3 linked regions of the Xenopus tropicalis genome follow. The protein of the gene in region 1 interacts with the protein of each later gene in a pairwise test. Links are inferred from orthologs where the notes say so. Each region holds a gene or a part of one and is shown on either strand. Other genes may lie near its edges.

Region 1 (4,258 bases):
ATAAATAAAATTACTTTAGAGTGTTATTCCCCTTTTAATAATTTACCAAATTCCAATAAATACACCAACAATAAAGAAAATGAAAATAAAATAAGGGGATATATTTTTCTACTAAGAAGTCAAGACAGCTTTTGTGGCTGCTTGTAGCCATAGCTGGACTTATCTATTTGCACAACTTGAGCAGACCCTCGTCAAAAAAAAAAGCAATGTGTATTACTAAATATCACTTAGTATCACTGAGATATTATGTGCATTCTAATCCAACTAGCTGCACCAGGTTCAGCCTAATAAAAGGTTCAGAATTTAAGGTGTCCATACATAGGGCAAATACTGGCTGCGATTCTTGATTGAGTCAGCAGGCTACTGACCCATCTGGCAGATCAAATACATTAGCCCTATGTCCAGGGCTAGGAGCTTCTGCTGCTCATGGAGAAAGTAAAATTGCAGAAATGACCACTAAAAACCTCTGGTGAACACTGCAGCTTAAGCTAAGTGAAGACAAACGGGGTGTAGTGCTGCATGTTATGATACTTTCTAAAAATCTTTTGTGGCCCTTGCTTAACCTAAAATAAATGGAGGACAAAGAAGAAATAAGCAATTACTTTATAACATTAGAAAATGTGTATTTCTTAATATGGTGAGCGATATTACTAATCCTAATTTGTAACTGCAACAATTTTTAGATGCAGCTTCTCAATGAATGGGCAGCACGCTGTCTCAAATGAAAGTTTCTCCATAAAGTGGCAGGAGGATATGCGGCAATGCCAGCCTTTGATCTAGCGCACACGAGAAAGTTACAGTTAACAAATTTGCACTCCACTGTTTCACAGAGTTACCCAGTGATTATGACCAGAAGCCACATATTTACCAAAGATTGAATCTAGAAGTCATCATAGTCTGCAAGAGTGAAATTCTGCTACTCTTTATACATTAATATGAAACTTTAGAGGGTATATTTATCAATACATATAAATGAGTTTACACTTTGATAAATATGTTTTCACTAATTGAATAGAAATTAATATAATGAGGGAAATTTCACTGTGGCTGACTATGGCAAGCTGTAGTTTAATACTTTGATAAATATCCCCCTTTGATTTCATTTCTGAAGTTTCACTGAATGGATTTCAAGGGCCATTAATAAGGAGAGAAAAAGTTGGAAGGGAGAGCCAGAGGGAACTGCAGTCTTTTCTACACAACTGTCCTACTTTTCCATGTCTCTAATACAATCCTTTAGTACCTTCTACATGACTCTAAACACTTCTGCAGCCCCACTCTATGGCAGTCTCTAATAAACTCCTGTCAAATCGTTCCAAGGCAGTCCCTAATACACTCCCATAAAAAAAACTCCATGGCAGCCCGTGATACACTCATGTCAAACCTATCCCTATCAATCTCTAACATACTTTTGTAGTAGTGATGAGCGGGTTGACCCACAACCTGCATTTTACCCTTAGGTCAGGCAGGTTAGGGTTGGGGGGTGTTGTGGGTTCAGGTTGGGTGTGGGTCAGACTAGGGAAGCACCTCTGCTCCTGAACTTTCCCTTCCTTGGAACCTAAGGCGAGAGCAGCAAACAATGTAGAAAGACGCAAGTACGTGTTTTAAATGCAAATCCTATATCGGCAACAATTTGTGGGATACGGTCAGTTGCAGGTTGACTTTTTCCTGACCCCCACACCACTATCTTGTAGTCTCTTCTGCAGTCCCTTTCCATGGCAGTCTCTACACAATCCTGTAGTCTCTTGATGGCAGTTTCCAATTCACTCCTATAGTACCTTTCCACGGCAGTCTCTAATACACTTCTGTAATTCTCCTCCAAAGCAGTCTCTAATACACTTCTGCAGTCCCTCTCCAAGGCAGTCCCTAATACACTTCTGCAGTCCGTCTCCAAGGCAGTCCCTAATACACTTCTGCAGTCCGTCTCCAAGGCAGTCCCTAATACACTTCTGCAGTCCCTCTCCAAGGCAGTCCCTAATACACTTCTGCAGTCCCTCTCCAAGGCAGTCCCTAATACACTTCTGCAGTCCCTCTCCAAGGCAGTCCCTAATACACTTCTGCAGTCCCTCTCCAAGGCAGTCCCTAATACACTTCTGCAGTCCGTCTCCAAGGCAGTCTCTAATACACTTCTGCAGTCCCTCTCCAAGGCAGTCCCTAATACACTTCTGCAGTCCGTCTCCAAGGCAGTCTCTAATACACTTCTGCAGTCCCTCTCCAAGGCAGTCTCTAATACACTTCTGCAGTCCCTCTCCAAGGCAGTCCCTAATACACTTCTGCAGTCCGTCTCCAAGGCAGTCTCTAATACACTTCTGCAGTCCCTCTCCAAGGCAGTCTCTAATACACTTCTGCAGTCCCTCTCCAAGGCAGTCTCTAATACACTTCTGCAGTCCCTCTCCAAGGCAGTCTCTAATACACTTCTGCAGTCCCTCTCCAAGGCAGTCTCTAATACAGTCAAGTAGTCCCTCTCCCTATCAGTCTCTAATACACTCCAATAGTCCCTCCCCATGGCATGCCTGGCTGTGGCAGCCTTCTATACTACCTCTTTAGAGCAGTTTACTGGATTTATCTTAAGCACACTGTCACCAATTGTTGCCCCTCATTGTATATAGCCAGACGCACTTCTGTCTCCTCTCACCTCTTCGCTTTTGAGCACCTCCTTGAACTCCCTTTTGATCCTCTGTGCTGCGATGTTCGCCATAATTGCCCCAGTTTCCGTACTTGACTGAGTCACCTTAAATTGCTGCAGTGCACGTTAAGTACGCCAGGCTTCCTCCCTCCGTGCAGTGCCGGCCCTGTGTGCTCTGCCTCCCCCGCCCCGCACAACGAAACCTAGCACAACAGTACACTGCAAAATGGCGAACCTGACACATGCGCAATACAAGAGTCTGGGCGGCCCACAGGAAGAACTTCCTGACAGGGTCCCTGCTCACGTCACTTTGGCCCGCCCCACAAATGAGACGTAACAGCGCGCCACAGAATCCCCGGGCTCCATTCATGCAGGGCTCAGTCACGTGATGTGTCACTGGACCCCAGCGCTAAACAGAAGAGTCGTGCAGTGTTGTAAAGTTTGGCTTTAGCAGCAGATTTCTATGAAACCAAAGGTCGTAGCCTGCCAGAGCTATGCAATTCTTATTAGAGGATGGGCTGACTACCTGCCCCTAGTAAGCATTTGTCTCAGCAAAATAGATATGCCACAACATGCATTAGTCACCTGACTCGTATTGGAAATCCAGAAGTTCCTGCTTAGTCTGCTGTATGGGAACTTTTTGTTCTCTTCCTTTTCAAAAGTCCTATGACTGGTCATGACCTACATCTGTTATCTAGAAAAAAAATAAAGCAGGGGCATAACTACAAAGGAGGCAGACCATGTGGTTGCAGGGGGGCCCTGGAGTGTAGAGGGCCCAGTAAGGGCCATGACACATAGGGAGATTAGTTGCACCACAACAAATGCCATCCCGTGGCATACACGGCACTGCGATATGCCGAAGTCACCGACATTTCCTCTCAAGGCGACTTTGGCAAATGGCGGCGCTGCGTATGCCATCCTACCGCTGATTTACATTGTAGCCGGTGGGATGGCATTGCGGGGAGATTAGTCGCCCGCAACAACAGAGATTTGTCATGGCAGCTCTAATCTCCCTGTATGTCACGGCCCTGAATAGTGAGCAGTTTTACTATATCTTGATAGGATAGGTCAATTTACCAACGATTTGGGCCCCTAAATTGAATTCTTTTGGGACAAGTGACATCTATTCATGCCACTGGTTGTGTGCATTTTCCTAAGCAGAGATGCTATCTGGATAATATAGCAAAGGCCAGCCAGTTAAATGATACATGCCACTACAGTTATTAAAGGACAAGGAAAGGCTAATACCTTGGGTGGTGCCAGTTACTTAAAATAAATGCACCACCAGAGATACCTTGTGCCTCGATTTGAATTCTATATCTGTATATCCATAGTTCAGTTAATTTTCTGGCTTAAAGGGGTGCTGCTCATCCCAAAAGAAATTACCTTTAAATAGTAACACCTTTTACAATGTGTCATTATGGCTTAATTTTGGCGGAAAATTAAAAGCCACCATTCTTAATTTAAAAGGTATTTTCAAATGCTTTAGAGACTTGGGACTGATTATGTGACATAAAGTCTTTATGATACCATAGCGGTCATTCTTGACCCCAGGGGACAAAGTGCAAGAGCACTAAAGGGCGCAAGAGTGGCTTTAGAGAAGCCTTTCTTCAATCATTATGTTCTGTACTTACT
Region 2 (3,256 bases), on another chromosome or scaffold:
AGAAGGCAAAGCTGACGGATAGGAGCCCTGGGAAGAAGGCAAAGCTGACGGATAGGAGCCCTGGGAAGAAGGCAAAGCTGACGGGAGCCCTGGGAAGAAGGCAAAGCTGACGGATAGGAGCCCTGGGAAGAAGGCAAAGCTGACGGATAGGAGCCCTGGGAAGAAGGCAAAGCTGACGGATAGGAGCCCTGGGAAGAAGGCAAAGCTGACGGATAGGAGCCCTGGGAAGAAGGCAAAGCTGACGGATAGGAGCCCTGGGAAGAAGGCAAAGCTGACGGATAGGAGCCATGGAAAGAATGTCAGGGTTGGGGCAGTGTCTGTGGGATATGGGGGGACCCATGTGGGATATGGGGGGGCCCATGTAGGGGGGAACAGAGACACATTATTATATGAGGGAGGGGATAGGATCAGGTACTCACCCCCTGTACCCCATTTGGGAAAGAATAGTTAATGGTTATGGTGCCGCAGCGATAGCCGGACAATGGCATGTTGGATGTTGAGTGGGTCATTGTGCCGTCAGGTTGGTTCCCTGTGACCAGTCCGTATGGGACGTTACACACTGGGCAGACTGGTTTGTGCTTCTTGGTTTCTTCCCAACACCCGGCACAGATGACGTGTTTGCATTTCTCCAGCACCAGTTTGGGTTTCGGCTCACACATACAGATGGGGCACTTATCCTCCTCTTCCTCAGGTTTCTTTCTTACTTCGGTGGATGGGCCCTCGCCCGTGTCCATTGGCTCCTCCCCCTCTGCGCCGGAGGCACCGCCATTTAGCCACTGACCCAACAACTTCTCGGCCGCGTGTATGTTACCCGGGGACCCAATCAGATCCAGGGATCCGTTGTGCCAGGTACTGATGATCTCTATCTGGTTCTGTATGAGCCGCTCCTGGACTGAAGACAATTGGGTTTCCGGAAATTCTGGTTTCACTTTGATTTCTCTCGTGATGATGTTGGAGAGAGTTTTGTGCCAGAGACAGAGGAAGATCTGGCAGGCGTGGGGCGCGAGGTCGGGGGGCCCATTCCTGGGGCAGAAACGGATCTGTACTTTCCCTTTATCCCCGTTATTTCCACTCGCCGTTATGGTTACATCGTATTTATCTTCTATTTCCCGAATCTGATTGGCTTTCAGCTCCTTCAGGATCTCCCATTGGCTCCCGCTGACGCTCAGGTCTCGGCTCATGTTGCCGATGGAGATGGGAATGACCCTGTGGGGCGCGGGGGGCTCAGTCGGACCCTCCTCTAACAGCCTCTTGGCCTGGGCTAATTCCCGCTCGGGGCCCCTCAGCGTCACCGTGTCCCCCTCCATTATGGTCTGCGTTTTGCCGCAATGTTCCCGCACTCTGCGCCCGACCTCACTCGCCGGCACCTTCGTTTCACTTAATTTCACTATTATCTGACTCCAGTCTGCGATTATCTTCTGAATGGCGTCGGTGAAACACCGACCGGCTTTCTCGGCGCTGGAATCGGACCCCATTGGAATAAAACGTATTTCGTTCCCCGAGGAGCTGCTGGAATCCCTCATTTCCACCTTAAATCGGTTCCTTATCTTTTCAACCGTATCCGGGTAGATTTCCATAAAGTACTGGTATAAACCTGGCGGAACGGAGACTGTATCTTCCCCTTGCGCTGGGGGCCCGTTACCCCCATCAGAGGGCAGGAAGCTGGGGTCACTGGGGCCCATTATTTGCCCCCTCAGATAGTCGTGCACCTGTTTAATTGCGGAGAAGGAGCCGGTCACCTCCAGTTTCCCGTCGGATCCGTTTCTCACTTTAACAGATGCAAATAATTTCTTTTCCATTGCACTTTCCAACAATGCGCGGAAGGCGGGGCCTATAAACGCAGTGACCTCAGGGAATATCTGCAAAAAAAAAAACCAGAAACTTTATAGGGAATTTAATGAAAAATTAACAAAAGTAGCGCAAATAAAGGTCATTTCTACTCACTGACACAAACTCCTCCCCCAGTTAAAGGGACACAACGCCCTAAATCAGAAGTTTCATTGCATTTGGTTAAAGCCCCCCCTGTCTTGTGTAACTGCTGCTGATACTTAGTACAGTCATATACAGCCACATCATGTTACCCATCTGCCTATAGGTCCCAGGGTATTAAGCACTTAAGCCTGAAAGTCACTGGGAATCTGAATATACTGCAGGGGTTAAATATGGGGGCTATTTGCCCCAGTTGGACCTGAATGCCCCCCAAAGTCACTGTAACACACATGGATGAGACTGATTATTATTTGGGAAAGAACGACTCCTGTCGAATGTCAGAAAATTGTCGTATTTGCGCCGACGTAATCACAGACCAGTTTTCCAGCATTTTTCTACCTTTAAAGACAATTTTCAAAAAAATGTTGCTAAAAAGTGGGCGTGGCTATTTTGTGCGGTATAAACAACCTTTCTGACAATTAGTGACATTTTTCAGACATTTTCTACACCAAAATGTCTCCACCGTAAGGGAATGTTGAGGAAAATGCCGATTGGCCGTAAGCAATAGCCATAGTTTGCATGTATATATCGTAAAATGGCGGCGTTACGATGAGGTTCCGTCTGTGGATCTGCCACACTTACAGCATCTTTACATGAGTCCCATGAGTCTAGCACTGCCCCCCAGGGGCTGATGGGAAGCCAATTGGGCAGAATGGGTCGATCCTTATTGTACAACTGGGAATGTGCCAATAGCTCTATAGTAAGTTACACAGTACTACTCACACCCCCATTAAGGCACTGCTCTCTAAAGGGGCCCTTGGGGGTGGGAAAGGTCCTGACTGAACCCCCATTTCCATCTGACCTGAATCTCTAAGCCAATTGGCCCGGCCTCCAAGCCCAAGGTGCCAGCCAGTAACATGGGTAAGAGGGGTCGGCATGGGGGGTAAAACCCCAAGTGAGATTTTCTTACATCGCTTGCTGCCAGACTCTGACTTACAATCTCCAGAACCCAACCCTGCTGGACTCACACAACAGAACCACATAGGGAAAGTGCTGATGGGTTGGTACCTCCTGAGAAGGATCCAGTTGGGTTGAACTCACTCCCCTTTGCCCCGGGGGGGCAGCTGTCTGGGGAACTCTATGAGGCTCTTCCTTCCTCTCGCTGTAAGTCTCGGCCTCCATATTCACTGGGCTCCCATCCTCTTCCTCAGATAATCTCAGGTCCACATACACTGGATCAGCACCTTCTGGGGCTTTTAAAGAAATTTTATGATCCTTTTTCTTCAATACATTGTCCTTGTCTGCAAGAAAAACAGGAGGGATAAAC
Region 3 (3,518 bases), on another chromosome or scaffold:
ATGGTTAAATGATTCCCTTTTCTCTGTAATAATAAAACAGTACCTGTACTTGGTCCCAACTAAAATTTAATAATTCCTTATTAAATGCAAAATAATCCTAGGGGGTTTAATTCTTGTTTATATCATTTTTAGTAGGCGTATTGTATGGAGATCCAGATTACAGAAAGACCGCTTATCTGGAAACCCCATGTCTTGAACATTATGGTAACAGATCGCATACCTGTACAGTCATTTTATTACAACTGTTTTCCCTTAGAATTTAGGTGGCCAACACACCAAGTTGGCAGCTTATCGGCCCATTTATGGGGCCATTATAAGGGCCAAACAACCTATATCTACCCAAAAATCAGCCAGATGTTGATCAGGCAGGTTTTAAAATGCCATCAACATGATTTAATCGTTAAGCCCTTGGGCCAAAACAATTGGATCAATCCGATATCACCTAACTGAAGGTGGGCATATCGGGGAAAGATCCACTCATTTAGCCACCTTGCCAAACTAGGAGATCTTTCAGTACTCATGTGTACAGAACCTTGTTATTCCATGGCATACACTGGTCTATGTGTCCTTTATTTCTGCTTCAGATTTATTTGCTGCCATTTGTTTAGAGTAATGTCCCACGGGGTGATTAGTCGCCTGTGATAAAACTTTGCTACCGCAGTTGACAAATCTCCACGAAAAGCCTTTGTGCCTGCAATACAGGGAATCGCCGGTGGAAAGGCCTATGCATCGCTTCGGTTTTAAGTTGAGTAAAGTTGCCTGCAGGAGGAGGCTGTGTGACTTCAGAAAACCGAAGCGATGTGTAGGCCTTTCCACCACCAATCCCCTTTATTGCAGGCAGAAAGGCTTTTCAGCAGAGATTTAACGCAGGCGACTAATGTCCCTGTAGGACATTACCCTTAGAAGTTCCATTATAACTTGAAGATTAAAGTCAAACAGAGATCAGTCGACCAAGGAGACTCCCTGCAGCCTTGTGTTATATGTAAGGAGGAGTTTGGTATCCATCCCCAGGTATGTACATACAGTACTCTGTATAGGAGGGAATATGAGCATTGTATTTGGAATCCATTTTCAGGTCTGTGTTAGATTAGAAAGAATATAGTAACACCATGAAAACATAATAGCTTTTTTCTGTATATAACACATTGAAAGCCTGGGTTTCTTTCATTTACTCTCATTCACGCTACCTTTGGTGAGCTAAATCCCCCTATAGTAAGCAGGAAAGCCATGTCTTTAGGTAGAAGTGTTAATGTATCCAACTTCCTCTGAGAAATGCATTCACCCTTAAAGTAAACGTTTAACTTGGCTTTTATGGAAATATTGTGATAGCAGAATTCAGCGCTTCCCTGCTCACTCACTGGATCGTTCCATTGTTCCATCCCGCTGACAGTATTATTACTCTGCACTCCTTTGGATTCTTCCTGCCTGACTTACGCTCAGTGTCATACAGTAAGGAAGGAAATAGGGAAAACTGAATCCTATATTTCGCCATCAAGCAAATTTTTTAGCAAAACCCCAGCAAAATTTTGTGAGAAAAATTACTCCAATGCATTTTGAAAAAACTGAAAAAAATTGGCTTCAATGTATTTTTTTAGTTAAAAGATTTTAAATGGAAATTTCCCATTTTGTCTCCAGCACTGTGTGGGCTTCCCTGTAACATTAAAGATCTTCCTACAGACTCTTCCATTATTCTTTATGGCATAACCCTTTCTGGTTTTCAGTCTGGCTGGGCCCTCTTTGCTCAGGGCTGCAAGTAACTATAGCCACACATAAATAAATGCTGGAATTATTTTGCTTACAGTACCTCTTGCCACTTACTTGAGCAGGGTGCAGTGGGCACAGTTTACTCATTACACTAAGCACTGTGTGGCACTATAGGGCGGTACCCAACTATTGCCACTCTAACCGACCTGCCTTGTACATAATGTATATATGAGTGCTATGTAATACAGAAACAATGCTGTGCCTAATGGGAGACGGTGGGGTACCTAACACCTTTCTCTTTATAAAGCTCAGAAACTGGGCATCGTTGGGGCCCCTGCTCTGCCCTTAACACATGAAGAATGGATTAAAGTCAAACAGAGATCAGTCGACCAAGGAGACTCCCTGCAGCCTTGTGTTATATGTAAGGAGGAGTTTGGTATCCATCCCCAGGTATGTACATACAATACTCTGTATAGGAGGGAATATGAGCATTGTATTTGGAATCCATTTTCAGGTCTGTGTTAGATTAGAAAGAATATAGTAACACCATGAAAACATAATAGCTATTTTCTGTATATAACACATTGAAAGCCTGGGTTTCTGCCTTTATTGCCCTATGAGAGTAGGCAGCAGTTATAAGTGAATAGACATTCTAGGCAGTTTGGGAATGAAATGATTCATTAAAAGAGGGGAGGGGATCATTTTCAGGAAATTGGTTCTGGGGAGGCGACATGGTCATGATAACATTTTTAAAGAGCAAAGTTTTCCCTGATCCAGAAATCAACTGTGAGTAACTATATGATTGTTCTGAGCACTAAAGCCAACTGTAAATTGACTGCAGTGGACAACTGGCCATTGTTCCTATTATATAGAGTAGAGAATTTCAGCTATCATGTTTCCCTACAGAAGTGATCCCCAACCAGTGGCTCAGGGGCAACATGTTGCTCCCCAACCCCTTGGCTGTTGCTCCCAGTGGCCTCAAAGTAGGTGCTTATTAGTGAATTCCTGGCTTGGGGGCAAGTTTTAGTTGCATAATAACCAGGTGTACTGACAATCAGAGCCTCCTGTAGGCTGCCAGTCCACATAGGGGCTAACTTGCTTGTGTTGCACCCCCAAATCTTTTTACATTTGATAGTGGCTCGCGGGTGAAAAAAGGTTGGGGATCCCTGCCCTATAGTATATGCATTAATCATAGTAGCACTAGTGCAAGGGAGACATTTAACTAGTTAAAGATGTTTGTTTTTACAAAAAAATGCATGCAGTATTTAAGCAAAAAGGAAAATGACTTTACTGCCATCTAGAGAACACTTAAACAGATTACAGAGCCCTCAGTTATTTTTTTATACAAGTATTATACACTACTAGCAATACCGTGTGTATAAAGTAATTTTAGTCTTAATCCATAACTGGGCTGTGCAGGGTATTCCACTCAGCACTTGCTTGTGTATGTTAAATGCAATGTTTTATCTATGTCAGGCAGTGATCTCCAACCAGTGGCTCGGGGGCAACATGTTGCTCACCAACCCCTTGGGTGTTGCTCTCAGTGGCCTCAAAGCAGCTGCTTATTTTTGAATTTCTGTCTTGGGGCAAGTTTTGGAGGCATAAAGACAATGTGTACTGCTAAATAGGGTCTCCTGAAACCTGTCAGTCTACATTGGGCTACCAAATAACCAATAACAGCCTTTATTGGTCACTCCCTTTTTCCATGCTTGCATTGCTCCCCAACTTTTTATATATTTAAATTTTGCTAACCGGTAAGAAAGGTTGGGATCCCCTGATGTACACGAAAGCCCATTGTGCCATTACCCTGCCTA

Evidence for each region.
Region 2: the proteins of ube2k (region 1) and E3 ubiquitin-protein ligase DTX3L interact in binary tests that used the Homo sapiens proteins (3 or more experiments, as listed by UniProt). The link is inferred for Xenopus tropicalis from reciprocal best matches to the Homo sapiens genes UBE2K and DTX3L.
Region 3: the proteins of ube2k (region 1) and rnf32 interact in binary tests that used the Homo sapiens proteins (3 or more experiments, as listed by UniProt). The link is inferred for Xenopus tropicalis from reciprocal best matches to the Homo sapiens genes UBE2K and RNF32.

The regions. Positions count from the first base shown.
Region 1 is NC_030677.2:36,220,625-36,224,882, reverse strand, and holds the start of ube2k (ubiquitin-conjugating enzyme E2 K), read right to left. Parts: upstream 2,807-4,258; 5' UTR 2,696-2,806; coding exon 2,633-2,695; intron 1-2,632. UniProt on the Homo sapiens protein: Accepts ubiquitin from the E1 complex and catalyzes its covalent attachment to other proteins. In vitro, in the presence or in the absence of BRCA1-BARD1 E3 ubiquitin-protein ligase complex, catalyzes the synthesis of 'Lys-48'-linked polyubiquitin chains.
Region 2 is NC_030685.2:90,208,209-90,211,464, forward strand, and holds part of E3 ubiquitin-protein ligase DTX3L, read right to left. Parts: intron 3,231-3,256; coding exon 2,998-3,230; intron 1,860-2,997; coding exon 420-1,859; intron 1-419.
Region 3 is NC_030682.2:17,285,354-17,288,871, forward strand, and holds part of rnf32 (RING finger protein 32), read left to right. Parts: intron 1-2,011; coding exon 2,012-2,154; intron 2,155-3,518. UniProt on the Homo sapiens protein: May play a role in sperm formation.